Linked DNA regions of Macaca mulatta. The protein of the gene in region 1 interacts with the protein of each later gene in a pairwise test. Links are inferred from orthologs where the notes say so. Each region holds a gene or a part of one and is shown in the gene's direction. Other genes may lie near its edges. The genes, in order: TCEA2, CCDC136, TRIM54, THAP1, MEOX2, TRIM27 and GPKOW.

Evidence for each region.
Region 2: the proteins of TCEA2 (region 1) and CCDC136 interact in binary tests that used the Homo sapiens proteins (3 or more experiments, as listed by UniProt). The two-hybrid records come from large-scale screens. The link is inferred for Macaca mulatta from reciprocal best matches to the Homo sapiens genes TCEA2 and CCDC136.
Region 3: the proteins of TCEA2 (region 1) and TRIM54 interact in binary tests that used the Homo sapiens proteins (3 or more experiments, as listed by UniProt). The two-hybrid records come from large-scale screens. The link is inferred for Macaca mulatta from reciprocal best matches to the Homo sapiens genes TCEA2 and TRIM54.
Region 4: the proteins of TCEA2 (region 1) and THAP1 interact in binary tests that used the Homo sapiens proteins (3 or more experiments, as listed by UniProt). The two-hybrid records come from large-scale screens. The link is inferred for Macaca mulatta from reciprocal best matches to the Homo sapiens genes TCEA2 and THAP1.
Region 5: the proteins of TCEA2 (region 1) and MEOX2 interact in binary tests that used the Homo sapiens proteins (3 or more experiments, as listed by UniProt). The two-hybrid records come from large-scale screens. The link is inferred for Macaca mulatta from reciprocal best matches to the Homo sapiens genes TCEA2 and MEOX2.
Region 6: the proteins of TCEA2 (region 1) and TRIM27 interact in binary tests that used the Homo sapiens proteins (3 or more experiments, as listed by UniProt). The two-hybrid records come from large-scale screens. The link is inferred for Macaca mulatta from reciprocal best matches to the Homo sapiens genes TCEA2 and TRIM27.
Region 7: the proteins of TCEA2 (region 1) and GPKOW interact in binary tests that used the Homo sapiens proteins (3 or more experiments, as listed by UniProt). The two-hybrid records come from large-scale screens. The link is inferred for Macaca mulatta from reciprocal best matches to the Homo sapiens genes TCEA2 and GPKOW.

The regions. Positions count from the first base shown.
Region 1 is NC_133415.1:116,959,374-116,963,311, forward strand, and holds the end of TCEA2 (transcription elongation factor A protein 2), read left to right. Parts: intron 1-303; coding exon 304-434; intron 435-707; coding exon 708-764; intron 765-1,515; coding exon 1,516-1,670; intron 1,671-1,745; coding exon 1,746-1,892; intron 1,893-3,104; coding exon 3,105-3,176; intron 3,177-3,404; coding exon 3,405-3,413; 3' UTR 3,414-3,595; downstream 3,596-3,938. UniProt on the Homo sapiens protein: Necessary for efficient RNA polymerase II transcription elongation past template-encoded arresting sites.
Region 2 is NC_133408.1:168,439,447-168,443,384, forward strand, and holds part of CCDC136 (coiled-coil domain-containing protein 136), read left to right. Parts: intron 1-346; coding exon 347-458; intron 459-1,056; coding exon 1,057-1,222; intron 1,223-1,458; coding exon 1,459-1,599; intron 1,600-1,934; coding exon 1,935-2,093; intron 2,094-2,385; coding exon 2,386-2,556; intron 2,557-3,048; coding exon 3,049-3,234; intron 3,235-3,938. UniProt on the Homo sapiens protein: May play a role in acrosome formation in spermatogenesis and in fertilization.
Region 3 is NC_133418.1:97,700,226-97,704,825, reverse strand, and holds the start of TRIM54 (tripartite motif-containing protein 54), read left to right. Parts: upstream 1-1,669; 5' UTR 1,670-1,948; coding exon 1,949-2,116; intron 2,117-4,600. UniProt on the Homo sapiens protein: May bind and stabilize microtubules during myotubes formation.
Region 4 is NC_133413.1:44,941,511-44,945,905, reverse strand, and holds the start of THAP1 (THAP domain-containing protein 1), read left to right. Parts: upstream 1-1,393; 5' UTR 1,394-1,613; coding exon 1,614-1,684; intron 1,685-1,810; exon of another isoform or gene 1,811-1,964; coding exon of another isoform or gene 1,965-2,014; intron 2,015-4,395. UniProt on the Homo sapiens protein: DNA-binding transcription regulator that regulates endothelial cell proliferation and G1/S cell-cycle progression.
Region 5 is NC_133408.1:112,580,176-112,584,744, forward strand, and holds the start of MEOX2 (homeobox protein MOX-2), read left to right. Parts: upstream 1-1,619; 5' UTR 1,620-3,594; coding exon 3,595-4,108; intron 4,109-4,569. UniProt on the Homo sapiens protein: Mesodermal transcription factor that plays a key role in somitogenesis and somitogenesis and limb muscle differentiation. Required during limb development for normal appendicular muscle formation and for the normal regulation of myogenic genes.
Region 6 is NC_133409.1:154,436,905-154,440,785, forward strand, and holds the end of TRIM27 (zinc finger protein RFP), read left to right. Parts: intron 1-1,511; coding exon 1,512-2,107; 3' UTR 2,108-3,169; downstream 3,170-3,881. UniProt on the Homo sapiens protein: E3 ubiquitin-protein ligase that mediates ubiquitination of various substrates and thereby plays a role in diffent processes including proliferation, innate immunity, apoptosis, immune response or autophagy.
Region 7 is NC_133426.1:49,200,757-49,204,694, reverse strand, and holds part of GPKOW (G-patch domain and KOW motifs-containing protein), read left to right. Parts: intron 1-911; coding exon 912-1,021; intron 1,022-3,208; coding exon 3,209-3,422; intron 3,423-3,856; coding exon 3,857-3,938. UniProt on the Homo sapiens protein: RNA-binding protein involved in pre-mRNA splicing. As a component of the minor spliceosome, involved in the splicing of U12-type introns in pre-mRNAs.

The DNA.
Region 1 (3,938 bases):
TTCATTCGGATCCACTGGAGATGCTGCCCAGATGCGGACTGCTGGGTCTGGGATCCTGTTCCCACCTGGGGAACATCCTGACCCACTGGGGACCTCACGGCCCATTCCCTCCTGGCTGCTGGGCACACCCCATGGACATCTGGGCTCAAGATAGGCAGGGCCACTGGCCACTGTTGGACTCTGGCAGAGTGGAGCAAGCAGGGTTTGGGGGGGATTATGCTGTGGCACCTGCTGCTTCTGGGATCAGTGTCTTGCTGGGGTACAGCCTCGAGTCTGAGTCTAGCTGGCCCTGGCTCTCTGCAGCCGCAAGAGGCCGGAGCTGCCCAGGGCACCGTCGACTCCAAGGATCACCACATTTCCTCCGGTGCCTGTCACCTGTGATGCCGTACGCAACAAGTGCCGCGAGATGCTGACTGCTGCCCTGCAGACGGCCCGTGAGTGCGGCCGGCCCTGGCTCCTGACACCCGCTGGGATTCTCAGGGCGGCCCAGGCCCCTGCCTGCCCGAGGAGGCCTGCTTCTAGAGGGGCGACTCTCCTCCCCCAGCCCATTGCTGCGGCCCTGGCAGCGGCGTGGGGCCTGTGCCTGGATCGTGGGCCTCTTCCAGGGACACGGATGTCCCCGCTAAGCTGCCAGGGTGATTTGCAGGCAGAAGGGGTGGCAGGTGGAGAAACCAGTGGGGGCAGCTAGTCAGGGCTCCCTCTTGCAGACGACCACGTGGCCATCGGTGCGGACTGCCAGCGCCTGTCGGCTCAGATCGAGGAATATATCCTTTGGGCAGGGCTATGGGTCTGGGTTTCTGGTGGAGTCAGGAGGCTGCCTGGCCTGGTGGCCTCTGGTGGCTGCTGGATGCCACTGCCCAGCTGTCCAGGGGTCACCTGCCTGGGGGGTCACCTGCCTGGGGGGGTCACCTGCCTGGGGGGTCACCTGCCTGGGGGGTCAGCTGCCTGGGGGGTCACCTGCCTGGGGGGTCAGCTGCCTGGGGAGGGGGTCACCTGCCTGGGGGGGGTCACCTGCCTGGGGGGTCACCTGCCTGGGGGGGTCACCTGCCTGGGGGGTCAGCTGCCTGGGGGGGGGTCACCTGCCTGGGGGGGGTCACCTGCCTGGGGGGTCACCTGCCTGGGGGGGGTCACCTGCCTGGGGGGTCACCTGCCTGGGGGGGGGTCACCTGCCTGGGGGGTCACCTGCCAGGGGGGTCAGCTGCCTGGGGGGTCAGCTGCCTGGGGGGGGTCACCTGCCTGGGTAGTCAGGTTGTCTCGCTCCAGGAGGCCCCCAGACCAGCTGAGAGGCTGATTCTGCCTGCTGGTGGGGCCTAGGTTCCCTGGGGCTGTAGCCTGAAGCTGGGTCTCAGTCAGGAATGGGCCTGTGGCAGGCTCGGCCCTGCAGCCCTTCACCTGTCCACCAAGTGTGGCTGGGCAGAACCTTTCCAGCCAGCACCCCAGCATGGCCCCCAGCGGGGCAGGTGGTAGGTGGAGGGCAGCGACGTTGTCCTCGGGTGGGTCCTTAAACACTTGCACGCATCTTCCGGGACGTTGGAAACACAGACATGAAGTACAAGAACCGTGTGCGGAGTCGTATCTCCAACCTGAAGGATGCCAGGAACCCTGACCTGCGGCGGAACGTGCTGTGTGGGGCCATAACCCCCCAGCAGATTGCCGTGATGACCTCAGAGGTGAGCCCCTGTTGGAGGGGCTGGAGGGCTGCTCCCCTCGGAGTGGTGGGCTAAGCCACTGGCCCCGTGCTCCAGGAGATGGCCAGTGATGAGCTGAAGGAGATCCGTAAGGCCATGACCAAGGAGGCCATCCGAGAGCACCAGATGGCCCGTACTGGCGGCACGCAGACAGACCTGTTCACCTGCGGCAAGTGCAGAAAGAAGAACTGCACCTACACGCAGGTGAGCGGCCGCTGGGCACCTCCCCCGGGCCCAGTGTCTTCAGGCCATCCCGTGCCCCTCCTAGGAGCCCATACCTGTTCCCGCCTCTGCTGTGAGTTTTCCGAGCCTCTCTGTCCCTGACTAGGCTAAGGCATGATGGCCACCTTCAGGGACCACTCCCCTCTACCCAGGACCCTGGGCCCCAGGAGGCAGCGTCTTGGGTGGTGGGGTCCACTTGTTCCAGGTGCTCAAGTCGGAGGGCCCGGCCCGCCCAGCCCAGCTGCACGGAGGGCCCTCGAGGTTGATGCTGGTGGGAGGGCCGTGGCGCCTGCTGCCTGGCAGTGACCGCAGGACTCTCAGTCCCTGCCATGGAGGTGGACACTGAGTGTGCCGGGGAGACTGTGGATCCCATGAGATGGCAGGGACCCTGTTAAGAGGGGAGTGCGGCTGGGCACGGTGGCTCATGTCTGTAATCCCAGCACTTTTGGAGGCCGAGGCAGGTGGATCATGAGGTCAGGAGTTCGAAACCAGCCTGACCAACATGGTGAAACCCCGTCTCTACTAAAAATACAAAAATTAGCCGGGGGTGATGGCACACGCCTGTAATCCCAGCTACTCAGGAGGCTGAGGCAGGAGAGTCATTTGAACCCGGTAGGTGGAGGTTGCACAGTGAGCCAAGATCACGCCACTGCACTCCAGCCTGGGCAACAGAGCAAGACTCTGTCTCAAAAAAAAAAAAGGGGGGGAGTGTGTTGAGGCGGCCGTTGCGCCTGGCAGATGGGACTCGTGAGGGGCTGCAAGGACAGCCCTTCCTTCCCCTCAAAGGCTGCATGGGGCCTGGGTCTGTGCAGAGCCTGCCTCTCTCCTGCTCCCAGCCTCTGGTCGGAACAGGCTCTGCCTGTGGCCTGAGGCTCACCCTTGGGCCTTCCAGAAGGCAGCCACGGGCACTGGGGACCCCCGCTAGTTCCCCCCACCATTGGGACCCTACTGCCTAGCCAAGTCTGGGCCCTGCTGGTCCCCAGCCAATGTGAGCTGCTTCAAGCCCACGCAAGGGCCTCTGCCCCAATAGACACTGTCTCCCTCCCGGGAGGCTCAGCTCTGGAAGGTTGGAGTCACAAGGTGGCCTCAGATCAGGTCACCTATGGGAGCTCAGCGGCTGCAAGGCCAGCTCTGCCCATTTGAGGGGACACTCCCTGTAGCAGAGCATGGAGGCTCACCCAGCCCTCCTTACAGGTGCAGACCCGCAGCTCTGATGAACCCATGACCACCTTTGTTGTCTGCAACGAGTGTGGAAACCGCTGGAAGGTGGGTGAGCGGGCTCAGGCTGCCCCTTCCAGCTCCATTCTCTGGAGGTGGGGTGTGTCAGCCTCTGTGGGGTCTGTGGTGTGAACTGGGGATGGCCCTGCCCAGCCAGCCTCCTGGAGTCTTGGGCATGGTGGGCGGAGACTGCAGCCTTGGGTGAGCCTGTGCGGCCTTCTCTCTGGGGAGTCTCATGTGGCCACAAGGCTGGAGGCCTCACCCCCTTTTTCGCAGTTCTGCTGAGCCCTCGTGTAGATGTGCTGCAGCCTTGGGCCGTGGCCAGTGCTGGCCTCCCCCGCCCACGTCCTCCGTTGATACAGCTTCTCTGGAGACCCTAGAAGGCGGCATGTCCTGCCCTCAACCTGCCTGCCTGGATTGCACCTTTCTGCCCTTTCCCCCTCGTTATTAAATGTTTCTTTTTGCCATCTCGTTCTCCTCAGCTGTTACTCCTGGTGGCCCGTCCCCATGTTTGACCTGTTCGCGCTGCTGTGGACACGGCCCCTCCCTGAGGTCAGGCAGTGCTTGGTGGGCCCTGGTGGCTCAGCCCCAGGAGAGGAGCTTGGCTGACCTTCAGAGATCACCTGGGGTGGCTGCCTGTGCGGCAGGTGGGGAGAGGGTCTTGCGTGCGTGCTGACAGCCTGTCGTCCTGTGCAGGGCACATGTCCTGCCGTGCCTCGGGCATGGGCAGCTTGGGACCCGGGTCCTGGCACTTCAGGACAGCTTGTCCCCATGCTGCCGTCTCTGTTATTGTGGGAGTTGTGGTCTCAG
Region 2 (3,938 bases), on another chromosome or scaffold:
GTTGAATGGAAACTTTACATACAGTAAACCCCAAACTTAATTAAACCTTCAAAAATTCCTAAAAGTTCAAGAGTCTGCTTCGGTTGAGGCTTTGAAGATGAGCACACAGGGCAGATCTTCAGGGCAGATGAGAAGAAGGACAGCTATCGGGAAGAGGAGCAAGACTCACTGCACTGTGGAATTTCCTGGGCCCTGTCTTCTAAGCCTCTATCTCTCTTTTCTGTCTTTAGAAAAAGAGAAGCTCTTTAGCCTTCTGCTCTCATGTTTCAAAACAGGAAAACTGGGGGCTGGTCATCAGTGCTTTCCTTTCCTCCTGGTCTCATCTCTCTCTGCTTGTCCTCTGCAGAAGAACTGCAGGAGCTGCGGGAACGCTACCATTTCCTGAATGAGGAATACCGGGCCCTGCAGGAGAGCAACAGCAGCCTCACTGGGCAGCTTGCAGATCTGGAGAGTGAGAGGTACAGCTGTCTCTGGAGAGTGAGAGGTCATGGGGTTCCACAGGACTCTGTCTTGCCTTGGGCTTTCCCCTGAAGGCAGATGCCAGGGCAGTGAGCGTTCCTCTGCTCCTGGAGACCCAGTCCTTTCCATGGTTTCCAAAGAATACAGATACCATCTACAAGCAGACATGGGGATCCGACCCAGTTATCTCAAGACTAGAGGGAGTGAGTTCTGAAGTTTACTTTTGCTCTAGGCACTGGGTTCTGGTTTGCTCTGCCCTGAAGTAGATCAGAAGAGATTCGTTTATTGTCCGCATAGACTTGTTTCAGTCTAATGGCAGGCACAATGCTTCCAGATTGGAGTGGGCTTGACTAGGCCTAGCCTGAAAACTAACTGGACTGGCATTCTAAGGGTCTCCCAGAGTCAAACACACCTTTGCAGATTGAGGTGCTGGAGACTTTCCATAGTCTTCTAAGCATGTTTATCTGAGCGGTGAGTCACAATAGAAGGCCCCTTACTATCTTTGGCCTAAAATGAAGGCATCAGGACCAAGCATGCATGGCTGGTGTTGCCAGGCAGAACTCCCTTCAAGCACAGCTCTGGGGTTCTGGATTGCAGGACACAGAGAGCAACAGAGAGATGGCTGGAGTCCCAAACACTAAGTATGACGTCGGCAGAGTCTCAGACTTCGGAAATGGATTTCTTAGAGCCTGATCCTGAAATGCAGCTGTTACGGCAGCAGCTACGGGATGCTGAAGAGCAGATGCATGGCATGAAGAACAAGGTAGGGCACAGAGGGTGGGGAGGGCAGGCACGTTTCTTGTCTTTCTTTCACCTTCTCCCAGCCTGTAGTAGAAACATCTCCACAGGCATGCACTGTGACGGGAGACAGTATTCTGGGGTCTTGCTTGCCTGATGTAAATCTTCCAGTCAAAGAATGCCATACTTTCCCCAAGCTTGTTCTTGGAGCACATGTGGTATCTGTAGTAAACAAGCCTCCCTGTTCCATTTCCTGCATAGTGTCAGGAATTGTGTTGTGAGTTGGAAGAGCTACAGCATCATCGCCAGGTCAGTGAGGAGGAGCAGAGGCGGCTGCAGAGGGAGCTCAAGTGTGCTCAGAATGAGGTGCTTCGGTTTCAGACCTCCCACAGTGTCACTCAGGTAAAGACTGCCCAGGGAGTCATCTGGGGTGGGGGCAGAAGGGCCTCATGGAGGGGCTGCTTCAACCAGGGTGGGCACAGTGAGTATGGCTGTGCTCTGCTGACTCTTGCCCTGCAACTGGGCACAGTCTGCTGGAAACCAACTGTAGAAGTCATATAGCACTGCATTCTAGAAATGGTGGTCATTACTGAGTGTCTGTCTCACAGAAGAAACCAAACCCTAGACCTGTGGGAGCTCCTCAAGATGTCTGCATCTGAAAAGGAACCCAACTGATCCGTAAAAAGATCTGCTGTTTCTCCAGAGTAACTGTTCTACTCACATCCTCCCTACCACAGAATGAGGAGCTGAAGTCCAGACTCTGTACCCTGCAGAAAAAATATGATACTAGCCAGGATGAGCAGAACGAGCTCTTGAAGATGCAGCTGCAACTTCAGGCTGAGCTCCGGCAGCTCAAAGTCATGAAATCCACACTTGTAGAAAAGCAGAGTGAGAAGGTAACAGCAACCAGAGGTGAGGGGACAACTTAGGTGCTAAGGGCATCCTTCTGAGGTTTTGGGAAAGGTGGATCAGAGTAGTGAGTTAAAAATAATTCCAGCAACCACATAGACAGCACCACAGGTAAAGAACTCCAGCCCTGCTCGAGTACTACATTAGATATGAGGACATTAGGAAGTGAAGGGCAGGGAGAAGCAAATCTTAGACTGTCGGTGTCTTCAAGTGACTCACACAGAAGAGTGAGTGGGTTAAGGAGCCCAGAGGCACTGCCCAAAGCCCCCTCTACCATAGGAGTTACTGTGCCGGCTGCAGAAGCTGCAGCTCCAGCACCAGAACGTCACATGTGAGAAGGAAAAGCTGCTGGAACGGCAGCAGCAGCTGCAGGAGGAGCTGCAGTGCCATGAGGCGGAGCTGCAGCACCTCAGGGATACGGTGGCCTCCTTCAAAGAGAGCAGTGAGAAGGTAAAAGAAGCTCCTGGTGAGGGAGGATGTAGCCTCATCTTGTGTGGGGGTGAGAGTGCAGAGGAGGAGAGGGAATGGTAGGAGTGTGGAGGAGCTGGCAGTGAGGGGGCCAAAGAGGTGCTTAGGAGAAAGGTAACCTCAGGGAGTCACAAGGCTCTCATCTTCCTTTGATTTTAAATCAGAAAAGCAGCATATAAAAAGGAAGTCCCTTTCCCTCCCTACCTCCCAAAAAAGGAAGCCCCAGAAGATCTGTGTTTCTTTTTAAATTATTTTTATATTTATTTATTTATTTAACTGGAGAGGCTACACTGGGAAGGTCTGTGTTTCAAGCCTGTCAGGGACGGGTCCATCTTGGGTATATATCCCAGGCTGGGATGAAATTGGGGCTGAGAAGGACAAAGGAAGATGGGTCCCCTTAGTCCCTGCCTGGGAGGAGAGAGTTCAGCAGCAGGAGTGCCTGGGGTGATGGCCAGGCCTGCCTCCCCTGCCCAGAACACAGAGACGCACGCTCAGCTTCAGGAGATGAAGCAGCTGTACCAGGCCAGCAAGGACGAGCTGGAGCGGCAGAAGCACATGTATGACCAGCTGGAGCAGGACCTCCTGCTCTGCCAGCTGGAGTTGAAAGAGCTCAAGGCCTCCCAGCCCAGTCCGGAGGACAAAGGAAAGTGTGCTAACAAGGTAATTGTTGTTCAGAGAGGTGACAGCTCCTGGGCACTGGCTCCAGAGAGAGGAGGTACAGAGGCAAAAGATGAAGGCACCCAATCGAAGGGCTTGATGGGCTTCCTAGGCAGGAAGCAGAGGCAGGGCCACATGCTGCTAACTACAGAACCGTTTGCCCTGACCTTGACTTTGAGCCGGAGCCACAGCTCAGTAGGATCAATACCTTTGGATCCCAGTCTGAACCCCTGAAGGTTTTACACATGATTCCATGTATGTAGACAATGGAATATAGAGTGCTGACTAGGCAAGAGAAGGACCTAGGCTTTTTCAGGATTTATTCTGTGACTTTGAAGTAGTTAAATTCTTTGTTGTTGTTGTTGTTGTTGAAACAGAGTCTCACTCTGTCACCCAGGCTGGCGTGCAGTGACACGATCTCAGCTCACTGCAGCCTCTGCCTCCTGGTTTCAAGCGATTTTCCTGTCTCAGCCTCCCGAGTAGCTGGGACTACAGGCACATGCCACCGCGCCTGGCTAATTTTTGTATTTTTAGTTGAGACGAGGTTTCACCATGTTGGTCAGGCTGGTCTCGAACTCCTGACCTCAGGTAATCCACCTGCCTCGGCCTCCCAAGCTTCGATGACAGGCATGAGCTGCCATGCCCTGCCAGTAATTAAATTGTTGAAGGTTGAATTGTGCCCTCTTTAAATGGAAGAGAATTCTACT
Region 3 (4,600 bases), on another chromosome or scaffold:
CCTGAGCCCCTTGTAATATCACCACCAAGAGCCTGATAACTGAGCAGGGCAGATCCTGTCCCTGGAGCCGCGGCACCAGTTAACTCTCCCTTGCTGCAACTCCGTGTACCAAGAACCCCTAGCATCAGCCTCATTCCTAAGCCAATAATGCCTTTATGGAGCTGGTCTCACCTTCTGGTGCCCACGGCCATTGGCATTGCCAGCCTCATTCCATGCCACTATGAGTCAACTCAGGAAAACTGCGAGTGCATTTGAGGCTTAGGGGTAGTCATTCCATCTTTAGATTCTCCTTGGACTTCAGCTACCAGAACAGCATGCATTAGCCTTGGTCCTGTGGGTTAACTGAAGTTCAGACATCAGTGCCAGCTTGCCTCCATCCTTTTCACATCTTATGCAGGCCAATTGACATATAATTTGTTCTCAAAAATAGGGGCATGAAATATGTGATCCGGAGAAGATTGCACTTTCTGGACTCTTTTCCCACTCTTGCCTCTTTGTGCTGCTGTTTCGTATCCTCCTCACACCGTGTATTTCCTACCCACTCAGGGTCACTACCTACTAACTCCTCAGACTTCTCTTCCTGGACTGGGAGAAGGGCTAAAGAATGGCGGTAAATAAAAGAGCTTTTGTCCAATCCCAAGGCATATTTTGGACCCAGAAAAGACAAATTGTGTCTGGGGTGGAGGAAAAAGGCCTAAAGAAATTGCTTCTTGGCTTTTTGGCTAATATCAAGTGGAGAAAAAGACCTGTAGGAGAAAAAGAAGACCAGTGCTCACAACTGGGGCGAGCCTGGCTTGGAGAGGAGGAGTCCTGGACAACTGTGGAGCTGGGGCAGAGGCTTCCTGGAGCCTTATGATTATGACTTTGTCAGTGCTCTAAAATTTCCCTGGAGGTTGATTCCCTGGGTGCCCAAAATAGGTCCCTGGCATTCATGTCCTTTCTGCCCAGCTCACCTTCTCCCAATTTCCTAACAAATTTGAAGTCCTTGGAGTGGCTCCAGGGATGTGTTCACGAACCAGAATCCCACATTTCCTCGGGCGCATGCTCATAGGTAGGTCCAGGCCTTGGCACAATACTCATTTCTAGCCTCTTGAGCTTCATTTCCTAGGGTGATATAAGAAAAGGCAGGCAAGAACAAAAATGAGCCAGAGGTATTGGACAGGAGGCTTGATGGAGTCTCTGGAGCTGCTGTTCTGAATCACACAGTCTTGAGGAGGAGGACCAGGGTCACTGGCTGAGCCTGTGGAGGAGGCAACTGCTACTGACTCTAAGTCTGGCAAGATCTTTCCTCCCACCCTGAGCTATGTATGGGTGCTTCTCACACAGGCAGATTTAGATTCTGTGTCACTGTCCTGGAAGAAGGGCCCAAGCCAGAGCAGGGGTCCTGGGCTCAGAGGAGCCTTCAGAGTGAGAGGGCAGCACCTTTGCTGACCCACCTTTCACCGTAAGCAGTGGTGCTTGCCCCTGCCCTTGCTCAGGGGAGTCACCCATTCCTGAGTGAGTCAGGGTCACTCACTCCGTGACAGCTGTGGCTCGCCTTACATGAGCTAAATTGGGAATTGGAATGTCATGCAGATGCCCCTTGTCTCCCCACCCCCACAGTAAAATTAATCTCCTCTCTGGGGAGTAAGGGACAAACAGTGCTACCCACAGAGTGAACAAGAGAGAGTCATTTGGGAAACAAAAGGAGGACTTTACAGAGAGAGAGGGATAGCTAAAACTACGTGAGCCTGCCGAGGGTGCAGAGCAGAAAGTGGAGACAGAAGTGTCTGAAGACTGCTATCTGGGACGAGACAAGTTGTTAAAGGGACAGGAGAGAGAGCAGAGCTATTTCAAGAGTGAGCCACAGAAGGGAATCCACAGGCCGTCTGAGTGAGGAAGGGTCTACAGACAGTGAGTGAAGGCCAGGAGCAGGACCCAAGCCAGGGTAGGCACAACCACCGAGGGGATGAACTTCACCGTGGGTTTCAAGCCGCTGCTAGGGGATGCACACAGCATGGACAACCTGGAGAAGCAGCTCATCTGCCCCATCTGCCTGGAGATGTTCTCCAAACCAGTGGTGATCCTGCCCTGCCAACACAACCTGTGCCGCAAGTGTGCCAACGACGTCTTCCAGGTGGGCGCCAGGGATGGGGCAGGGCCAGGTAAAGCAATGCAGACCTGTGGGGGACTGATCAGGTCAGAGCTAAGACCCCAGAAAGTGATGGATAGAGTGCTCTCTGAGGTAGGTGGTGGCTGTTGTGGCTGGAGAGCAGAAGGGCTGGGGTCCAAGCAAATCCCAGAGCAAGCATGAGTCAGCAGCTGCCCTGCAGGCTGGCAGGTACAGCCTGTCCATAGACGGCAGCTGGAGTGCTGGGATCTGCTGAGGAAAGGAGACCCTGTGGAAACTGGGAGGGAGGGGATCCTACACCGGTCTTTTAAGAGCCTGTGCCAGACTCTGCATTCCAGTTTGGAGTTTCACACTTTGAGAGCATTGCGGAAAATACGGAGAAAAGATTAATGAGATAATGAAACATTAAAAAACAAACAGAAAAAACCCAACCCTGTGAGAAAGCTCCATAATGGCAGTAAAACGATTCGTGTTTAAGGAAAGTTCAGGGCATCCGTTGTGGGGGACAGAGTTAGACGCAGTGGGCAGGAGACTGGGAACTCTTCCCCAACTTGAGTTCATACCTGTTACCTCCAGATTGTTGAGTAAAGAGGCCTACTGGTTCAAAGCTATTGAGGTCACTTGACAAGCAGAGAGAAGGCAAAGAAATTTACTTTTAGAAGTCTAGCCAGTTTTGGTTTATTTGTGGTCATGGAGCCAAGCATAGCTAATCAAATTCACAGATACCATTTTAGCCACTGGTTTAGAAATAAAAGCTGCATATACCAGAATGGATTATAAGTGGGCTTTTTTTTCTTTTCCTGTGCTACCGGGGAGGTTCTAGTAGGCTATGAAATGGAACAGAGATCAGGGAGAGTGAGGGGCAAAGGCACACACACACACGCGGCCTTGCCGATTAAGCAAAAGCCCTGAATGTGGCCGGGCGTGGTGGCTCACGCCTGTAATCCCAGCACTTTGGGAGGCGAGGCCGGCGGATCACGAGGTCAGGAGTTCGAGACCGGCCTGGCCAATATGGTGAAACCCCATCTCTACCAAAAATACAAAAATTAGCTAGGCGTGGTGGCAGGCGCCTGTAGTCCCAGCTCCTCAGGAGGCTGAGGCAGGAGAATCACTTGAACCCAGGAGGCGGAGGTTGCCATGAGTCGAGATCATGCCATTGTACTCTGACCTGGGTGACAGAGCAAGACTCTGTCTCAAAAACACAAAAACAAACCCTGAATAGACCAGAGCTGGCTTAGTATGTGTGTCAGTGATACGGAACATCCCAAACAAGTATTCTTCAGTGTCAGAAATGATGAGGAAATGTGTTAAACACAAGGGATTTTTAACCTAACCAAGAAAATACTTCCCTCTTAAGTTCCTCGGGGCAGCTTGTTTGGGAAAGGAATGGACTGGCTAGGTCCCGCCATCCCACGATGTACCCTGTGACCCGCCCCTTGTATGTCTGCTGTGTGTCATCTTCACTGAAGACCAGCACTCTGTGGTCTCTCCTGCCATCTTCCCATTGAGGCCCATTCCCTCTCCTATTCTTTTATGTGTCCAAACCTGCCATTATTCAGCTCCAGAGTATCTCAGAGGCAGTAGATTTTCCGTCTCGGGGGACCCAGACCAAATGCTATGCCTCCTCATCCTGTGCATGAAGTCCTGCATGAGAGGCAATGCTTTGCCCACCATCTTGGTGTTTCCTTGGTCTGAGGAATTCCGAACATCCTTCAGGCTGAGATGCCTAGGAGGAAATGGCGGAAAGATTTTGCCATCATTTCTCATGAACTGACAGTGAAACATCCTCTCACTGGAACTTGAAATGCGTGAAAACAAAGAGAAGTTTTGAAAGTTAAGGTGACGTGTCCTATAGAAAAGTGGTCAGAATGTCCAAGAGCATTCCTGGGTGCCTCTGTCGTCTGGCAGAGGGGCCCAGGAGCAGTCCCCATACATGGAGGCTAGAATGTGTTCAAGTGACATGCTTGTTTAAGTCAACCCTTTCTACCCAAGCACACTGTTTCAGTTCCAGAAAGCTCTGGAATACTGATCTGGGCTCAGAGAGACCTTGGAATGGCTTGGGGCAAACCCTGTACAGAATATTTGGAGATAACGTGATACCCAGGGCTTTGGGGTGGCCCTGTGGGTCTGGAGTGATGTGTGTCGTTTGAGGTGCAGAGCAGCCCTGGCCCCTCCAAGGAGGAAGAGTGAAGAGCTCATCCCTTGCTGCTTATTTGGGAGGGCCTGGTGGGAGGCTGACCCAGTTCTTCAGCTGCACTCAAGTCTGTATATCTCAATATATCTCAGTAGATCTCCCTCGGAAAGATGAGCAGATTTAGTTTTTTCACACATTGCCTCCACATTTTGACAACTGTAGGCATAATCAGATTGTCTGTTTTCTAAGTATGGGGCAAGAATAGGACTTTTGGAAAGAATAGGACTTTTCCTCTATCTTCAAACCACTTAGGAAGAATACCCTTAGAGTGTTGCCTAGAAAGTTAACGGTTATCA
Region 4 (4,395 bases), on another chromosome or scaffold:
ATTAATTACTATATTATGTAAGAATCGATATCTTTATTTATTTATGAGACAGAGTCTTACTCTTGTCGCCCAGGCTGGAGTGCAGTGGTGCAAGCACGGCTCACTGCAACCTCCGCCTTCCCAGATTCAAGCGATTCTCCTGCCTCAGCCTCCAGAGTAGCTGAGATTCGAGGCATGTGCCAACCACACCCGGTTAATTTTTGTATTTTTAGTAGAGACGGGTTTCACCATGTTAGCCAGGCTAGTCTTAAACTCCTGACCTCAAGTGATCCGCCCGCCTCAGCCTTCCAAAGTGCTCGGATTACAGGCGTGAGGCACTGTGCCCAGTCCATTATTATCTTTAAAGCAAAATTAGGAATGCTTCTGTTCTCAAAATATCGAGATATCTGGACACTTCGAAGTCTGGGTCTGTTTAGTAAACATTATCAATCTGTTGCCTTAATGGTATACATCTAGAGGCTAGGAACACCTAACTTTCCGGGAATGCAGCCCAGCAAGTCCCAGCCTCATTTTCCTAGCCCTCACTCAACACAGAGTCGCTCTATTTCGAACCCCTCTGACATATTCTCTCTCAGATGTGAAAACTGCTGCAGCAGCTCCCTATTTGCAACACCGCACATGGAAATCACAGCAATGGACAGCCCTTCACAAAAGCTTCTGGGGAGGGAGGGCCTGGTGGCTCAACTCCCGTAATCCCAACCCACTGGGAGGTCGAGATAGGTGGATCCCTTCAGCTCGAGTTCTAGACTGGCCTGGGCAACGTGGGGAGATCCTGCCTCTATTTTTTTAAAAAATTACATATATATATATACACACACACGTATATATGCATACATATATACATATATATAATGCTTCTGCGTTGGCAATTCAGATGATTTGGCGAGTGTGTCTTTTTTCATTGCTAAAAACCTGTCACGTTGGCTCTCAGAGACTTGTGATGCCTGAAGACACAGGTAATGGGAAAAAGATCAGCATTCTGGGAAAAGGTTCCACAATTTTATTAATCATACACCATCTGTGTCCGCCCTTTTAGAGAAATGGGCGCAATCAGACAACGACCTCGGCTTTACACCTGTTCTCCATGAGGCCCTAGTTGTTTCCTACTGTAAGCCGCCCCAGAAAAGCTCCGCATCAATTAACCCACGGGAACAGCCCGGGCTGGATGATGCCCCTGGAATCCAGCCTCCCGCCGCGCCTCCTCCCCCGCAAGCTGTTCCTTCCTGCCTACCGGAAGTTCAGGGCTCCGCCCACTTCCGCAACTCTGAAGCCACCGCCGGAAACACCTGGCCTCAGCCAATAGTTAGCTTCCCAGGAATCGTTACCTCTGACCTCGGGGCTAATCAGAGACAGTGGGACGCACCCCTCGCGAGAGGTGAGGTTGAAGCTGCCTCCGCCATCTTGGAGATGGGAGACGGGCGATGGCTGTGGTCCTTCTGCTAATGCAAACAACAAAACGGGCACACTAGTCACCCCAGAGGGAGGCCACCATTACTGTAACTGTTGGCCAAAGCTACAAAAGAGCGAGGGTGTCCAACCGAGCGCGGCGACACTGAAAGCAGCTTCCCCTGCCTTCTGCGGCGGCAGAAGTGAAGTGCCTGAAGACCGGAAGGATGGTGCAGTCCTGCTCCGCCTACGGCTGCAAGAACCGCTACGACAAGGACAAGCCCGTTTCTTTCCACAAGTGAGGACCCTGCGCGCCTCGCGGGGCCGGTCTTAGCCAGGGTGGGGGCGCGCGACCGGCGGGGCCGGGGGCGGAGCCAGGCGCGTGTCCGCGCGAGGGGCGGGTGGGGTCTGGGGCCGGCCGCGCGAGGCGTTTCCCGCCGCGTCCTGCTGGGAACCGTCGCCCGATCGCGCGTTCTCGGCGCGCGTCTCCGCGGCGGTTGTTTCTTGCGCTCTCGGAACAGGTCCTCGTTGCAGGCTTCGCTCCAGGCCTCGGTTGACGAGTTTGGAGCCCGCGGGCGATGCCTATGGTGGCGCGGGTTTTGCCGCCACCAGGGTCACGAGCAGCCAGGTGTTGTAATAACGTCTTAGGGGTAAATTTGAAATATAAACAAAGGCCTTTCCCTTGTCGTGGATGGGAGGCCAGCATCGTAGCAATTAAGGGTTTTTTGGCTGGGAAATCCCGGAGAATTTTTGCCCCAAATCTCTAGGAACTAAGCTTTAAGGACCCTGAGTTTTGAAGAAAGCTTCAGGTACTGCCAAGATAAATCGTTATCTTTTCAGCACACAATAATGATAATATGGATAGTTACAACATGGATCATAATAAAATGACTCACACTGATCTTTATTTATTACGGCATTACCTGTGCATAGAGGAAGCTCTTTCGAAAGAAACTGCCCCACAGCTTTCAGAGCTGTCTTATCCAATAGGTAGCACAGTTAAGAGTGCTAGGATCAAAAATATTCTCTTGAAAATAGGAAAAAAAGTGCAAAGTTGCAATTACTTATGATAATCAAACGCTTGTAAAATGTGACATAACATTCAGCTGAATTTGTTTACAAATTTTAATTACATTTATGTTAAGTTTTCTTTGTAAGAATTCCTGACAACTATATGCAGATGATAGCTAAGAAATCAGATCCAGGGGTAAACTATACAAATTAGTCATAGGTAATTAGCTAATTATCTTTTATAATTAGGTAATTACAAAAGCAAAATGTTAAATATCCTTTCAATTTTTTTATTTTGGTGTGGAGCCATCTATGTTTACTAGGGGAGTGTCCATGCATTTTTTAAGTGTTTGATATCATGTGAGATGGACCCTATAGAAATAAGAGAGTGTAGAACATAGGTCTCCAGAGTAATGATGTTACCCCTTGGCGAAGGGGGTAGAACACTTACAGGATTCAGTTCAGGATATCCTAATATTGTCTCTTAATTTAATTGGAATTTCTGTAAACATGTTCTTTCGAAATGTAGGAAAAGGTCAGGTGATGGTAACAGGATTACATGTGCAGCTCCCCACCCACATTTCTGATGGCATGGCAGAAGGAATCTAAAATTATGGAAAATGTTTCACTGGCACTGGAAACAAGTTTAAGGAGGGTATTCACACGTCAGAAATAACTGTGTTTTTGGCCAGGCACAGTGGCTCATGCCTGTAATTCTCAGCACTTAGGGAGGCCTAGGTGGGCAGATCACCTGACGTCAGGATTCAAGACCAGCCTGGCCAACATGGCAAAATCCCGTCTCTACTAAAAATACAAAATACAGGCGTACGCCTGTAATCCTAGCTACCTGGGAGGCTGAGGTAGGGGAATCGCTTGAACCTGGGATATGGAGGTTGCAGTGAGCTGAGATCTTGCCCTGCACTCCAGCTTGGGTAACAGAGCCAGACTCCATGTCAAAAAAAAAAAAAAAAGAGAGAAATAACTGTTTCTGCTAGGTGTTAAACACATACGGATTGAATCAAAAGAAGAGCTAACCTGCATCTTATCCCTTATCTAAAAGAGCAGGTTTAGGGAGAGTAGATGGGAAAGATTTTAACAGAATCTCACAAACAGCTGTAAATTTGTGGTCCTTGTGCCAGGAGGCCCTAGGTACTGACTGAATTTTAGCAGCAAATGCTACCATAGTTTATGCTTACAGAGCCAGGAGGCCATAGGTACGGAATTTTACCAGCAAATGCCACCCTAGTTTATACGTATAGAGGCCATTTCCAGCTGAGATTTTCTTCTTCTCTTTTTGAGATGGAGTCTTGCTCTGTCACCAGGCTGGAGTGCAGTGGCACGATCTCGACTCACTGCAACCTCTGCCTCCCCGGTTCAAGCGATTCGCCTCAGCCTTCTGAGTAGCTGGGACTACAGGCGCGCAACACCACGCCCAGCTAATTTTTTTTTTTTTTTTTTTTTTTTTGAGACGGAGTCTGGCTCTGTCGCCTGGGCTAGAGTGCAGTGGCCGGATCTCAGCTCACTGCAAGCTCCGCCCCCCGGGTTTACGCCATTCTCCTGCCTCAGCCTCCCGAGTAGCTGGGACTACAGGCGCCCGCCGCCTCGCCCGGCTAGTTTTTTGTATTTTTTAGTAGAGACGGGGTTTCACCGTGTTCGCCAGGATGGTCTCGATCTCCTGACCTCGTGATCCGCCCGTCTCGGCCTCCCAAAGTGCTGGGATTACAGTTGTGATTACAGGCCACGCCCAGCCCCAGCTGAGATTTTCTAGGAGTACCACTTATCCCACCGTCTGCATAGTGGCAGCAGAGAGTGCTATGTTGTACAAAGAAAAGGGACTGTCATAAAGATCTCTTACTAGCAGAGTCAGGCTCTAGCATATTGTACATGGAAGAGAAAACTGTGAAACGTAAATTCAAAACCCCCTTCCTTTGTTTTTTTTTCTAATCCCCCCAGTTTACCAAATCCTTAATTTGGAAGAGTAAAACCACAATAAATTTA
Region 5 (4,569 bases), on another chromosome or scaffold:
TTAAGCCAAAGAAGCAATAGATATACACACTCATCAAGTTTAAAGAACCTAGCCTACATTTAAAATCATTATAGTTGTGGAGCCTACAAGAGCTAGGTAGCTTACCTTTTCACATAATCAACCTCTTTATAATGTGTTACTGGATATTGAAACCTTCCATGAAATATTGGCATTAATATAACTTTTCTTCAGGAAAACTCAAGTATATTGCAAATATTAGATAAATACTATGTCATATATAGTTTTAAATGATTGTTTATATAAATTTTATGATAAACTTTATAATTTTTACCATTCTTGATATCATTAAATAAAGAGGCATCTTCTCAATATTGGATTTTATGGATGTGAACACTGAAGTAGCTGTTATAGGAAAGCTAAGGATTTTTTTTTCCTGTTTTTACTACATTTTAAAAATTTCTCTAAAACCTAGAACATAAAATTCAATATTCTATCTTATTCCAAATATTTGAATAAATTAATATTTAAAAATCTTTATGTAATGATTAATACATATTTAGAAATCCAGAGAAAATTAAAGTCCTATTTAATTCTGGAATTTACCAAGACCTCCTTTTTAGTCCTTCATTTTTTTCCTTTCAAATATTTTCCTTATGTTGTGTTTTCTATAAGAAAACTGGACTTCATAATTTTTGTTGATATTAAATGTTTTGTGTCTCCAATTAAAAAGACCTGTCTTACTACCTTTGCTTTCATTGCATGCCTTTGCAATGACTTCCTCCTTTTCTAACCTTTCCTAAATTTTTCTTCTAGAAAAAGTTCTAGAGCCTGACTGACTGGGGCAGGTTGTAGAGAAACTTCTGGACAGATTGTTAACATCTGACACAATGAGTGAGAAAAAATCCAGCACAGTCACTGGGCAGGTTTAAGAAGAAGTGGCAGCTCTGGGAGATGAAAGATTTGTGTGTTCTTGTTGCTAGTTACCTGCAACACTCTGGTTAAATTCAAATCCATTCATTTGGTAATTGCTTAGCTTCCTCTAAACCAATGTAATGCAAACCAAAAGGACCATTGTGGATGTTTTGGACTGATGTCTGCAGATCATGTGTAATTTTAGTCTGTCTTGTCTGACATTTTCCACAATGCTTTAGTTGACAGCATTGTATTATGTAAATATTTCTGGTTAGGCTTATTGAGGTGGTTGCCTAAATCTCACTTTAAATAAAGCCTTTAATGCTTTCACCTAGAATCCATAGAGAAGCTACACAAGTTGGGGAAGTTTAGTGTTGCTCTTTGTACTTTAACTTTTAATATCAGAGCACATATTGAAACCATAAACACAATGAAAATACAAAAAATATTCCGACGATATTAGAGGACTATAACTCCCCCACCTCTTTTTATTCTTAAAGAGCCAAGGGCGTGGGGAGTGGCAGGAAGAAATATTCTTAAGATCTAAGTCCTGGACGCCATCCTGCTAGTGCTTAAAGCCCCTAGAAACGTGCAACCTGAACAACACCCCCTTTCGAAGTCTAAAACAATATTAGATTCCCAAAGTATCGGCAAAGAAATTCTTACCGTCAAAGACTTGCAGCAGGTTTCAGCTCAGACCCAGACTGAAAAGCTGAGCAGCTGGTGAACAAAAGTTTTAGTTTTTTTTTTTTTTTTAAACGAAGTCTGCAAAACTAATTTCCCTCAAAATAGAGCTCAATTTCCGTTAAAGAAAGCAGCGCTTACAAATCTCAGAATTCCTGATCAACCCCCACTCCACCCCACCTCTAAGCAATAGAAAACAATTCGATCTTTCACACGGATGTTTTTGAGAAGCCACTATTCTACAGCATGACTTACAAGAAAAGAAGATAGTGAGGCTTAAGCAGGGGGACTGGAAGAGGAGGGGGAAGGTTCTGCTTTGGGGACACCTCTCAAAGATTAATCAATACTTTTTCCTAATTCAAACCAGATGTCTAGCCCAGTTTGCTGTACCCATTAATCCCACTAACAACTTCAAAGACCTGCTCATCATCCTCTGGACACCTGAGACAATGAAAATAACGGGGCGACACTGCTGGTGGTGCATTTGGGGCCCCGGGCGGAATAGGTGACTACAGATATTCTCCTGATGCGACAGGTCCCAGATGGGACTTGACTGTTTCTCCTGCTCATTACAGAGCCACTCACTTGTGTGTAAACGACTCTGCCCCCAGCGGACCCTGTCACCCGCCAAACAAGTGGCAGTCTCAAAGCCCTGCCATCGTTCTTGCATGCTTACTGGAGGCAAATTTTCTAATTTATTTTCAGGGATGCAAAGTTATAGCCAAGTGCCCAAGCTTAGTGAATTTTGGGAGCTATCGAAATGTAAGATTTCTCAGTAAATGGGACGGTGGTGATAAGGGATGCGATTAGCGGATTTATTTTTGAGCGGAAGAGAGTGGATTTCTGTAGGAAACTGCGGAGACCTAGGCTAGCTCCTGAGGGGAAAGGCTAGATATGTGCGTGCAATCTACACATCTCATGTGACCGGGACAAAATCGCCTGGAAATATTTTTGACCCAGGAAAATTTCTTCTTGGTGGACAAGTGGCTAGGAAATTGAGCGGGACCAGGAAAGAGGGGGAAGGGAGACTCCACCTGGCATCGCACAAGAGGATGCCAGGGAACAGGCATCTGCAACCCTTTCAGACTCACGCCTTCCTCCCACCCACCCTACCGGGTCCCTCTTGGTTCCGCACTGAGAACTGCCTTTTCCAGGCCATGGTACTCATCCCCACAACCTCAGATCTGGCGTCCCAGCCCATTAACAATCCACCCACAGAAACCAGCTGTGAAAACCTAGGCGCGCTGCGGCGCCCAGGGCACTGGAAGATGCGAAGTTTGAAAAACTTCGAGGATGCGCCTAACTAGCTCTGATCTTTTCGTTTAACCCTATTACTTCTTTTGGGTTCCTGAAAGGCTAGGCATATCCCTAGCTTTTCTGCAGGTGACAGTTCACAAATGACACTGACAAATCACGTTTCCCGGAGAGGAAAGTGAGTAGGTAGGAATCAGGGTGCTGGGTTGGGGGTGGTGTGCGCCGCGCCCAGGCCTCCAGAGTCTGGAGGGCAGAGCTGCTGCCCTCCCGGGCGGGACTTAGGCACTGGCGTGCCGCTTGTAGCCCTGGCAGCCGGCAGTGCTGGGCGGGCGTGGACGCTCTGCGTCTGTCCAGCAGGCGATAGGAAGTGGAACTGGGGAGCGCGTGGCGCAAACTGAGCGGGAGTTTTGGAGGGAGTTTGCATGTGGTCAACTCTGGGCTCCTAAGCCGGCCCCCAGCTCACGTTACACTCTATTTATAACCTCTCAGAGCCATTTCCCCCTGAAAGCAGTTCTCTGGGACCACCTTCTTTTGGCTTCAACCTCTCCCACTCTTGACATCTGAGTAGTTCAGGGAAGCTCTTCCAGGTCCGACTGTTCATATGCAAAGGAGACTGGCCGCTGGGGCTCAGAACCGGGATTATCCGAGCTCTGCAGAAGTGCACGGCTATTGCTTTGGGAGGGTAAAAAAAAAATCATACAGTTTCCAGTGAAAAGTGACAGAGGGTGGTGGCCTTTGGAACCGTCCTGAAGTCTTCTGCCTGGAACCTGAAACTTGCATGCTATGGAACACCCGCTCTTTGGCTGCCTGCGCAGCCCTCACGCCACGGCGCAAGGCTTGCACCCGTTCTCCCAATCTTCTCTCGCCCTCCATGGAAGATCTGACCATATGTCTTACCCCGAGCTCTCTACTTCTTCCTCATCTTGCATAATCGCGGGATACCCCAACGAAGAAGGCATGTTTGCCAGCCAGCATCACAGGGGGCACCACCACCACCACCACCACCACCATCACCATCATCAGCAGCAGCAGCACCAGGCTCTGCAAACCAACTGGCACCTCCCGCAGATGTCTTCCCCACCGAGTGCGGCTCGACACAGCCTCTGCCTCCAGCCCGACTCCGGAGGGCCCCCAGAGTTGGGGAGCAGCCCTCCGGTCCTGTGTTCCAACTCTTCCAGCTTGGGCTCCAGCACCCCGACTGGGGCCGCGTGCGCGCCGGGGGACTACGGCCGCCAGGCACTGTCACCTGCGGAGGCGGAGAAGCGAAGCGGTGGCAAGAGGAAAAGCGACAGCTCAGGTAAGGGCTCACCAGGCACCCTCGAGAGTGCGCGCCGGCCTGGAAAGGGGGCGGAGAGATGCCAGGGGAGATTCTCGCACTACAGGGTGGCAGCGGGGAATATGGGAATGTGTTGCCCTTTGTGGCTTCCCGCGGCCAAATTCGGCGGTGAAGCTTTGGTCCTGATATTTGGGGGACACGTGTTTATCCGAGAGCAATGCATATACAGCCAGCAGCTCTAAGCTCTCCAAGGTCCTAAACTAGTTTACCAGAAGGTTGATAAAAAAGGACAAGTGGCTGTGAAATCGATTGCGAAGCGTGACCTTCCATCCCAGCGCTGGGGAGGGAGGGGCGTGCGCCCAGAGATGCAGCGTCGGTTGGGCAGGCGTGCGTGCGGGTGCCGCTTCTTGACTTTTCTCTTGCAAGTTCCCGACTGTGAGTGGCTCGATTTTTCCCATCGTTAACTGGATTTCCAAATCATT
Region 6 (3,881 bases), on another chromosome or scaffold:
AACTCCTGGGCTCAAGTGATCCTCCTGCCTCAGCCTCCTGAGTAGCTGGAATTACAGGCACACACCACCGTGCTTGCCTAAATTTTTACTTTTATGTTTTGTAGAGACAGGGTCTCACTATGTTGCCCAGGCTAGTCTCAAACTCCTGTATGCAAGCGATCCTCTTGCCTTAGCTTCCCAAAGTGCTGAGATTAACAGGCATGAGTCACACACCCAGCCCATTATCAGTGTTTTTGAAGCAGGAAAACACTTGATGATAGCAAGATGCTGTAATACTAAATGCCAGAGGAGATGACATGGATCATACATAGTTTCAGATTTCAGAACAGGAAGAGTGTAATGGCCTGGGCAGATTAAGAAAAACTTGGAGGATGTGTGTCTTGCAGTGGACATTAGAAGAAGATGAATAGAGCTTTGATGTGCAGAGTAAAGATCTTATAGAATGGATAAAAGAGTGATTTGGGCTGGGTGTAGTGACTCACACCTGTAGTCCTAACACTTTGGGAGGCTGAAATGGGAAGACTGCTTGAGCCCGGAAGATGAAGTCTGCAGTGAGCCATGATTATGCCACTGTACTAGTCTGGGTGACAGAGTGAGACCTCATCTCAAAAAATACAGTAAAAAATAATTGTAAAAGAGTGATTTAAAAGGTAAGCATACTGATACAGGTTCCCAGTCCTTTACCCACAGTTCTAAAATCCCCAATCTCTGAAAGCCACAACCTTTTTCATTATTTTGTAGGAAATTACAGTATCAAAACGTGAATTTATGTGGTGCTGTTTAGAGTCTATCCTTCATTATGTAAACATTCGTGGATCTCATAGCAGATCTATTAATATTTCATTATAGAATGCTGCGCCAGACCCTACCTGTCTAAAACCTGTAATATTCTGAATTCTGTGAAACTTTGGGCCCCTGAAGTTTTCAGAATAAGGGATGATGAGCATGTAAGAAAACCTCAATTCAGTGTATCTGCCAGGCACAGTGGCTCATGCCTGAAATCCCCATTGCTTTGGGAAGTTGAGGTGGGAGGATTGCTTGAGGCCAAGAGTTCAAGACCATCCTGGGCAACAGTAAGACCTCGTCTCTACAAAAAATTTTTTAAAATTAGGGTGGTAGTGCACACCTATAGTCCCAGCTACTTGGGAGTCTTAGGCGGGAGAATCACCTGAGCCCAGGAGTTTGGGGTTACAATGAACTATGACCACACCACTGCGCTCCAGCCTGGGCAACAGGACCCTATCTCTTAAAATCGGTTCATAATGGATATTGTGGCTTCAGATGTGAAAGAAAAGATATGGGGCTAAAATTCAGTATTTTCAGTGTATTCTGGTAACCAGCTAATCCAAGCAGTAATTTTTGAAATGTGAAGTTTAGAATATATTCTAAATAAAATACGTGCAACCTCTAGTGGCAAACTCTCATTCGTGGGGAGGTAGTAGAAAGGCACTGAGTGTTCTAGAATAGGCTCTCCTGGCCCGTGGCTGACTCTCTTCTTTGTGTCTCTGCAGTGGACGTGACTCTGGACCCAGACACGGCCTACCCCAGCCTGATCCTCTCTGACAATCTGCGGCAAGTGCGGTACAGTTACCTCCAACAGGACCTGCCTGACAACCCCGAGCGGTTCAATCTGTTTCCCTGTGTCTTGGGCTCTCCATGCTTCATCGCTGGGAGACATTATTGGGAGGTAGAGGTGGGAGATAAAGCCAAGTGGACCATAGGTGTCTGTGAAGACTCAGTGTGCAGAAAAGGTGGAGTAACCTCAGCCCCCCAGAATGGATTCTGGGCAGTGTCTTTGTGGTATGGGAAAGAATATTGGGCTCTTACCTCCCCGATGACTGCCCTCCCCCTGCGGACCCCGCTTCAGCGGGTGGGGATTTTCTTGGACTATGATGCTGGCGAGGTCTCCTTCTACAACGTGACAGAGAGGTGTCACACTTTCACTTTCTCTCATGCTACCTTTTGTGGGCCTGTCCGGCCCTACTTCAGTCTGAGTTACTCGGGAGGGAAAAGCGCAGCTCCTCTGATCATCTGCCCCATGAGTGGGATAGATGGGTTTTCTGGCCATGTTGGGAATCATGGTCATTCCATGGAGACCTCCCCTTGAGGAGGTGGATTCAGGCCAAAAGGGCTGTTGGCTGTAATCCTATGCCAGGCACAAGGCATCTTGTTGCCTTGCCACGTCCTGTCACAGCTGGGTATACTTACCATGTTCCATGCCCTTGCAGTGGGAGACAGGATGTCCATGTTCTCTACCATCCTTTTCCTTCCCGTGCAGATTGTGAAATGTAATGAGATGTATCAAGATATCCTAGAAATAAAAACCAGATGTCCACCTCCAGTGTTTCACACTTTCTGGTTTTACACATTGCTGGAGGGATAAAGAGTATGGATAATCTTTGGATTTGGAGAGCCATTCCAGATACTTCCACCTTCTTGGCTCAGCCTGGCTTCCTCTGGTTCAGCCCCACATAATGATTATGGCTGTTTGCTGTCATTTCTGGGTTAGGGCTCCTTTCTAACAACCTAGACTGGAACAAGGCCCTGTCAGCATGGCTCCGTTATCCCAGTTTTTCCATCTGGGAACAGTACCTCTGCCCCTGATTCCCAATCTGCCATAGTTTTATTAACTCCATTAAAGAGGCCTGTATGTGTTTTGGTTAGTTACAGTTATTTTACAATAATGGTGGGTAATGGCCCCACCTCTGTTATGAGATAATGTTCTAATCAATGTCTCTGCCTTTGTATCTTTTCTGAGGGTTTTGTCTGCTCCCTTCATTCTAATGAAAGGTGTATTCTAGTGCTGGGCGCATATCATCCAGGATAATATTCTGCCCAACTCCATCCTCTGTTACTAGATCCCTTACCAGTCACATTTGTGGACTGGTGGTCAGTGGTATACCATCCCTGGAAGGATTCTGAGACAATATTCCAGGGATTCATTGACTTCTTGGCTCCTTTTCTCCATTTCCTTTGGGGGATAGGGGAATTGACCATTCTTAAGTGCATACTGTCAAGGGGCAGCTCCACCCCCATGGCCATTGGATCATGAGACACTCTGAAGTCAGAAGGCTGGGGCAGATCACTTCAAGCAAGCCCCCATGATGGTTCTCAGTCCTGCTTCTCTTTGGGTACATGCCCCTCTGTTTAAAAATAAAGTGAATATGGATGTTTACATTGTTGTTGCTTTCTGGGTGTTGGTAGGATTGGGTTCAGATGTTGGAATGGGTGTGGGGAGGAAATGGTTAATGGTGTTGCTTTCCCATATGGGTCCCAAAATCCCACTCTGGCCAATAGTTTACTTCAAACTGGAAAATAAAACTACTTTCTCCGTATGATATCACTACTTTCTAGAGGTGCTAAGAAAGTAGTGTTGGACATTCATAGCCTACAGTTCTTATATTGATTAACCCTGTAATTTTACTAGGAAAGTATTTTCTCAAGTCCTTTTTGTAGTATTGTGCCAGGCATTGGGGTTCCATGGCTGAGGTTCATGAGTTGGTGATATCATGTCCTAATTCTTCATTTACTCATCAGGTTTTAAGGGAGCTATAGAAAGTAGCTTCCATGAGGCTAGGTTAGCTTTTGCTGAATATTCTGAGATCTAAATGTATGCAGTTATATATATATATATACACACACACACACACACACACACACACGTACATAAATACTACTAACAAACATAGAGCAGTGCTTGGAACATCATATGAAGAACTTTATGCACAATAACTTACTTAATGCTCATGATAACTTTATCAAGTATGTACTATTGCCTTTACAGATAAACTGCAGCAGAGGGGGTAAATGACTTACCCAGGGTATACAGCTAGGAAGCAGCAGAGCCAGGATTCAAACTGGGATGGAACACATGATCACAT
Region 7 (3,938 bases), on another chromosome or scaffold:
GAGACTGATGTAGCAGTGAGCTGAGATTGTGCAACTGCACTCCAGCCTGGGCAACAGAGCAAGACTTCATCTCAAGAAAAAAAAAAAAAAAAAAGAAAACCTTGGAGTCATCCTCAATTCCCCTCTTTATTTCATGCCCCATACACTCTGCCAGCACAATCCTTCATCTTTTTTCAAAATGACACCCAGAACTGACCACTTCTCACCGCCACGAGCATCTCTCATCTGGACTATTAGAGTAATTTCCTCACTGGTCCCTCTTATGGCTCCCACCTGGCTCAGGGTCCTCTGACTCCTGCCCAGCTCTCCTGATTTGATCTCTTCCCCACCCTTCTCTGCTCTCTACTCTCACTATCTCCATTTCAGTCATGGTGACTTTTACCCCTCACACATACCAAGCCTTGTCCAGCCTCAGGGCCTTTGCTGTAACTGTGCTTTCAGCTCGGGACACTTTCTTCTCATATCCTCATGGCTCCCTCTGCTATCATTTCCTGATCTCTGCTTAAATGTCAACCCAGAGGCACTCCCTCTCCATCCCTCTGCATCTTCTTACCCTGCTTTCTTGTTCTATACGTCACCACCTGACATATCATGTTTTCTGGGTTTTATTTATAGTATGTCTCCACAACTAGATCAGAAGCTCTGCAAGGGTAGGGGTTTTTGTCTGTTTGGTTCACAGCTTCATCCCCAGTACCTAGAACAGTACTTGCCATAGACTAGGTGCTTTCTATTTGTTGAAGGACTGAACATGGAGGAGTACAGTGAGGGATGGAAAGAGGAAATCAAAACACCCTTGAGCTGATTGGAAAAGATGCGTAGCAGGTCTCCCAGTGGGTGGCAGCAAGTGCACTTCAAACAGAGGACCCAGTGTAAGCAAAGCCTGACCCTCCTTCCTCTACCTGAACCTGTAGGTGCCAGAGGAGGCTAATTATGAGGCGGTCCCCGTGGAGGCCTATGGGCTGGCCATGCTGCGGGGCATGGGCTGGAAACCTGGCGAGGGCATCGGCCGCACCTTCAATCAGTGAGTTCTGGGATAGGGGCGAGGGGACAGACAGATCAGGCTGCAATCAAGATCCCCAGGGTCACTGCCAAACCAGAACCACTCCAGGCAGGGAGGGAGGATACATTATCGCCCTAACTAATTCAGTAGCCCCTTCCACTACTGTTTTAAACTCCCATTTGCCCTTTGAAACTCTAATAGGATCCCATTTATATAAAGTCTGCCTCTAGGGACATCAATTTCTTCATCTGAAAAATGGGGGTAATAGTACTGACTTCACAGGTCTGTTGTGAGAGTTAAATGAAATTATACACATAGGCCAGGTAGTGGCTCATGCCTGTAATCCCAGCATTTTGGGAGACTGAGGCAGGAGGATCACTTAACCCCAGGAGTTTGAGACTGGCCTGGGCAACATAGGGAGGCCCCATCTCTACAAAAGATTAATTCATTTTAAGAAAAGAAATTAGGCCGGGCGCGGTGGATCAAGCCTGTAATCCCAGCACTTTGGGAGGCCGACAAGGGCGGATCACGAGGTCAGGAGATTGAGACCATCCTGGCTAACAGGGTGAAACCCCGTCTCTACTAAAAAATACAAAAAACTAGCCGGGCAAGGTGGCGGGCGCCTGTAGTCCCAGCTACTCCGGAGGCTGAGGCAGGAGAATGGCGTAAACCCGGGAGGCGGAGCTTGCAGTGAGCTGAGATCCGGCCACTGCTCTCCAGCCTGGGCTACAGAGCGAGACTCCGTCTCAAAAAAAAAAAGAAAGAAATTAGAGCCAGGCGCAGTGCCTTGTGCCTGTAATCCCAGCACTTTGGGAGGCTGAGGCGGGTGGATCACAAGGTCTGGAGATCAAGACCATCCTGGCTAACACGGTGAAAGCCCATCTCTACTAAAAAAAAAATACAAAAAATTAGCCGGGCATGGTGGCGGGCGCCTGTAGTCCCAGCTACTCAGGAGGCTGAGGCAGGAGAATGGCGTGAACCCAGGAGGTGGAGCTTGTAGTGAACCGAAATCGCACCACTGCACTCCAGCCTGGGCGACAGAGTGACACGCCATCTCAAAAAAAAAAAAACAAAAAAGATAAACTATATACGTAAAGCACATACAGTAGGCCCTGACCCCAAGAAAGCGTAGACTAAACATTTGCTATTGTCATGCAGACTTACAACCCTTTCTTCGCAATTGCAAACTCAAGAATTGTGAAAACCAAACATTTTTTTCATAACCCATTGGCAGCCAACTATGACCTGAATTGGCGTTGAGTTTTTTTTTTTTTTTTTTTTTGAGATGGAGTCTCTGTCTGTCACCCAGGCTGGGATGCAGTGGTGCAGTCTCAGCTCGCTGCAACCTCTACCTCCTGAGTTCAAGTGATTCTCCTGCCTCAGCCTCCTGAGTAGCTGAGATTACAGGAATGCACCAGCACGCCTGGTTAATTTTTGTATGTTTAGAAGAGATGAGGTTTCCCCATGTTGGCCAGGCTGGTCTTGAACTCCTGACCTTAGGTGATCTGCCAACCTCAGTCTCCCAAAGTGCTGGGATTACAGGCATGAGCCACCGTGCCCAACCATGTTGAGTTTTTATAGTCCGTTTCTCCTGCTTGGTGTGAATATTCATATGATTTCCCCTGTAGAAATAGTATATTTGGTTACAGTGATCTGCCTCTGATCTCACTGTAGATATTATGTAATAGATGGTATATGCAGCATGTTATTAGGTCGAACCAAATGAAATTGCTGTTTCTGTAGGTCAAAAACAGTCCTAATATGAGATCGGAAAGGGCAACCTTGAAAATACCGATGGGGGCCAGACATGGTGACTCACACCTGTAATCCTAGCACTATGGGAGGCCAAAGAGGGCGGATCAGCTGAGGTCAGGAGTTCGAGACCAGCCTGACCAACATGGTGAAACCCTGTCTCTACTAAAAATACAAAATTAGCCAGGCATGGTGGCATGCTCCTGTAAACCCCAGCAACTTGGGAGGCTGAGGCAGGAGAGTCGCTTGAACCCAGGAGGCGGAGGTTGCATTGAGCCGAGATTGAGCCATTGTACTCCACCCTGGATGGCAAGAGCAAAACTCCGTCTCCAAAAAAAAAAAAGAAAAGAAAAGAAAATGTCAATGGTGGGGGTGGGGGTTTGGGCAGGGAGAGGAGGTAAATAAGGTGTTGAAGACTATTGCATCCTCTCCAACAAACCCATGTTCTCCCTGCAGAGTAGTGAAGCCCCGTGTCAACTCACTGAGGCCCAAGGGGTTAGGGCTGGGTGCCAACCTGTCTGAGGCCCAGGCCTTGACCCCCACCGGCCCCTCCCACATGCCAAGGCCAGATGAGGAGCAAGAGAAGGATAAGGAAGATCAGCCTCAAGGGCTGGTGCCAGGAGGAGCTGTGGTGGTTCTTTCTGGCCCTCACCGAGGCCTCTATGGGAAGGTAAGGAACCAAGATATCCCGGGAGCCCAAAACAGGCAGTAGGGAAGGTTGATCCGAGGGTCAGATGGAGGAATAATTGGGTTTGAGGTAGAAAGGCTGGGAGTCCTAGTCTTTTAGGTCTGCTTGGCCCACTGCCTCACTCAGTAACCCGGGACCACTTGCTGGCCTTTGTGAGCCTCAGTTCCCAGCTAAAAGGAAGAGAGTGCCATATGCCACAAGTCCCTGAGGATTAAATGCTTAAAGGATCCAAGGAAGCCCCACAGTCAGTTGAGGGAGACACAGGAACCAGACCTAGTCCCACTTCTTAGGGATCAGAGTCTGGTTGGGGAGACAGAGGAAGCAGGCCTCTTAGAGGTAAGGGATTGACATCTTGGTCCTAGGAATGTGGGTGGAGTCCACAACCCCTACCTGACTTCTTCCCCTCAACACTTTAGGTGGAAGGCCTCGATCCTGACAATGTTCGGGCCATGGTTCGTCTGGCTGTGGGGAGCCGGGTGGTGACTGTTAGTGAGTACT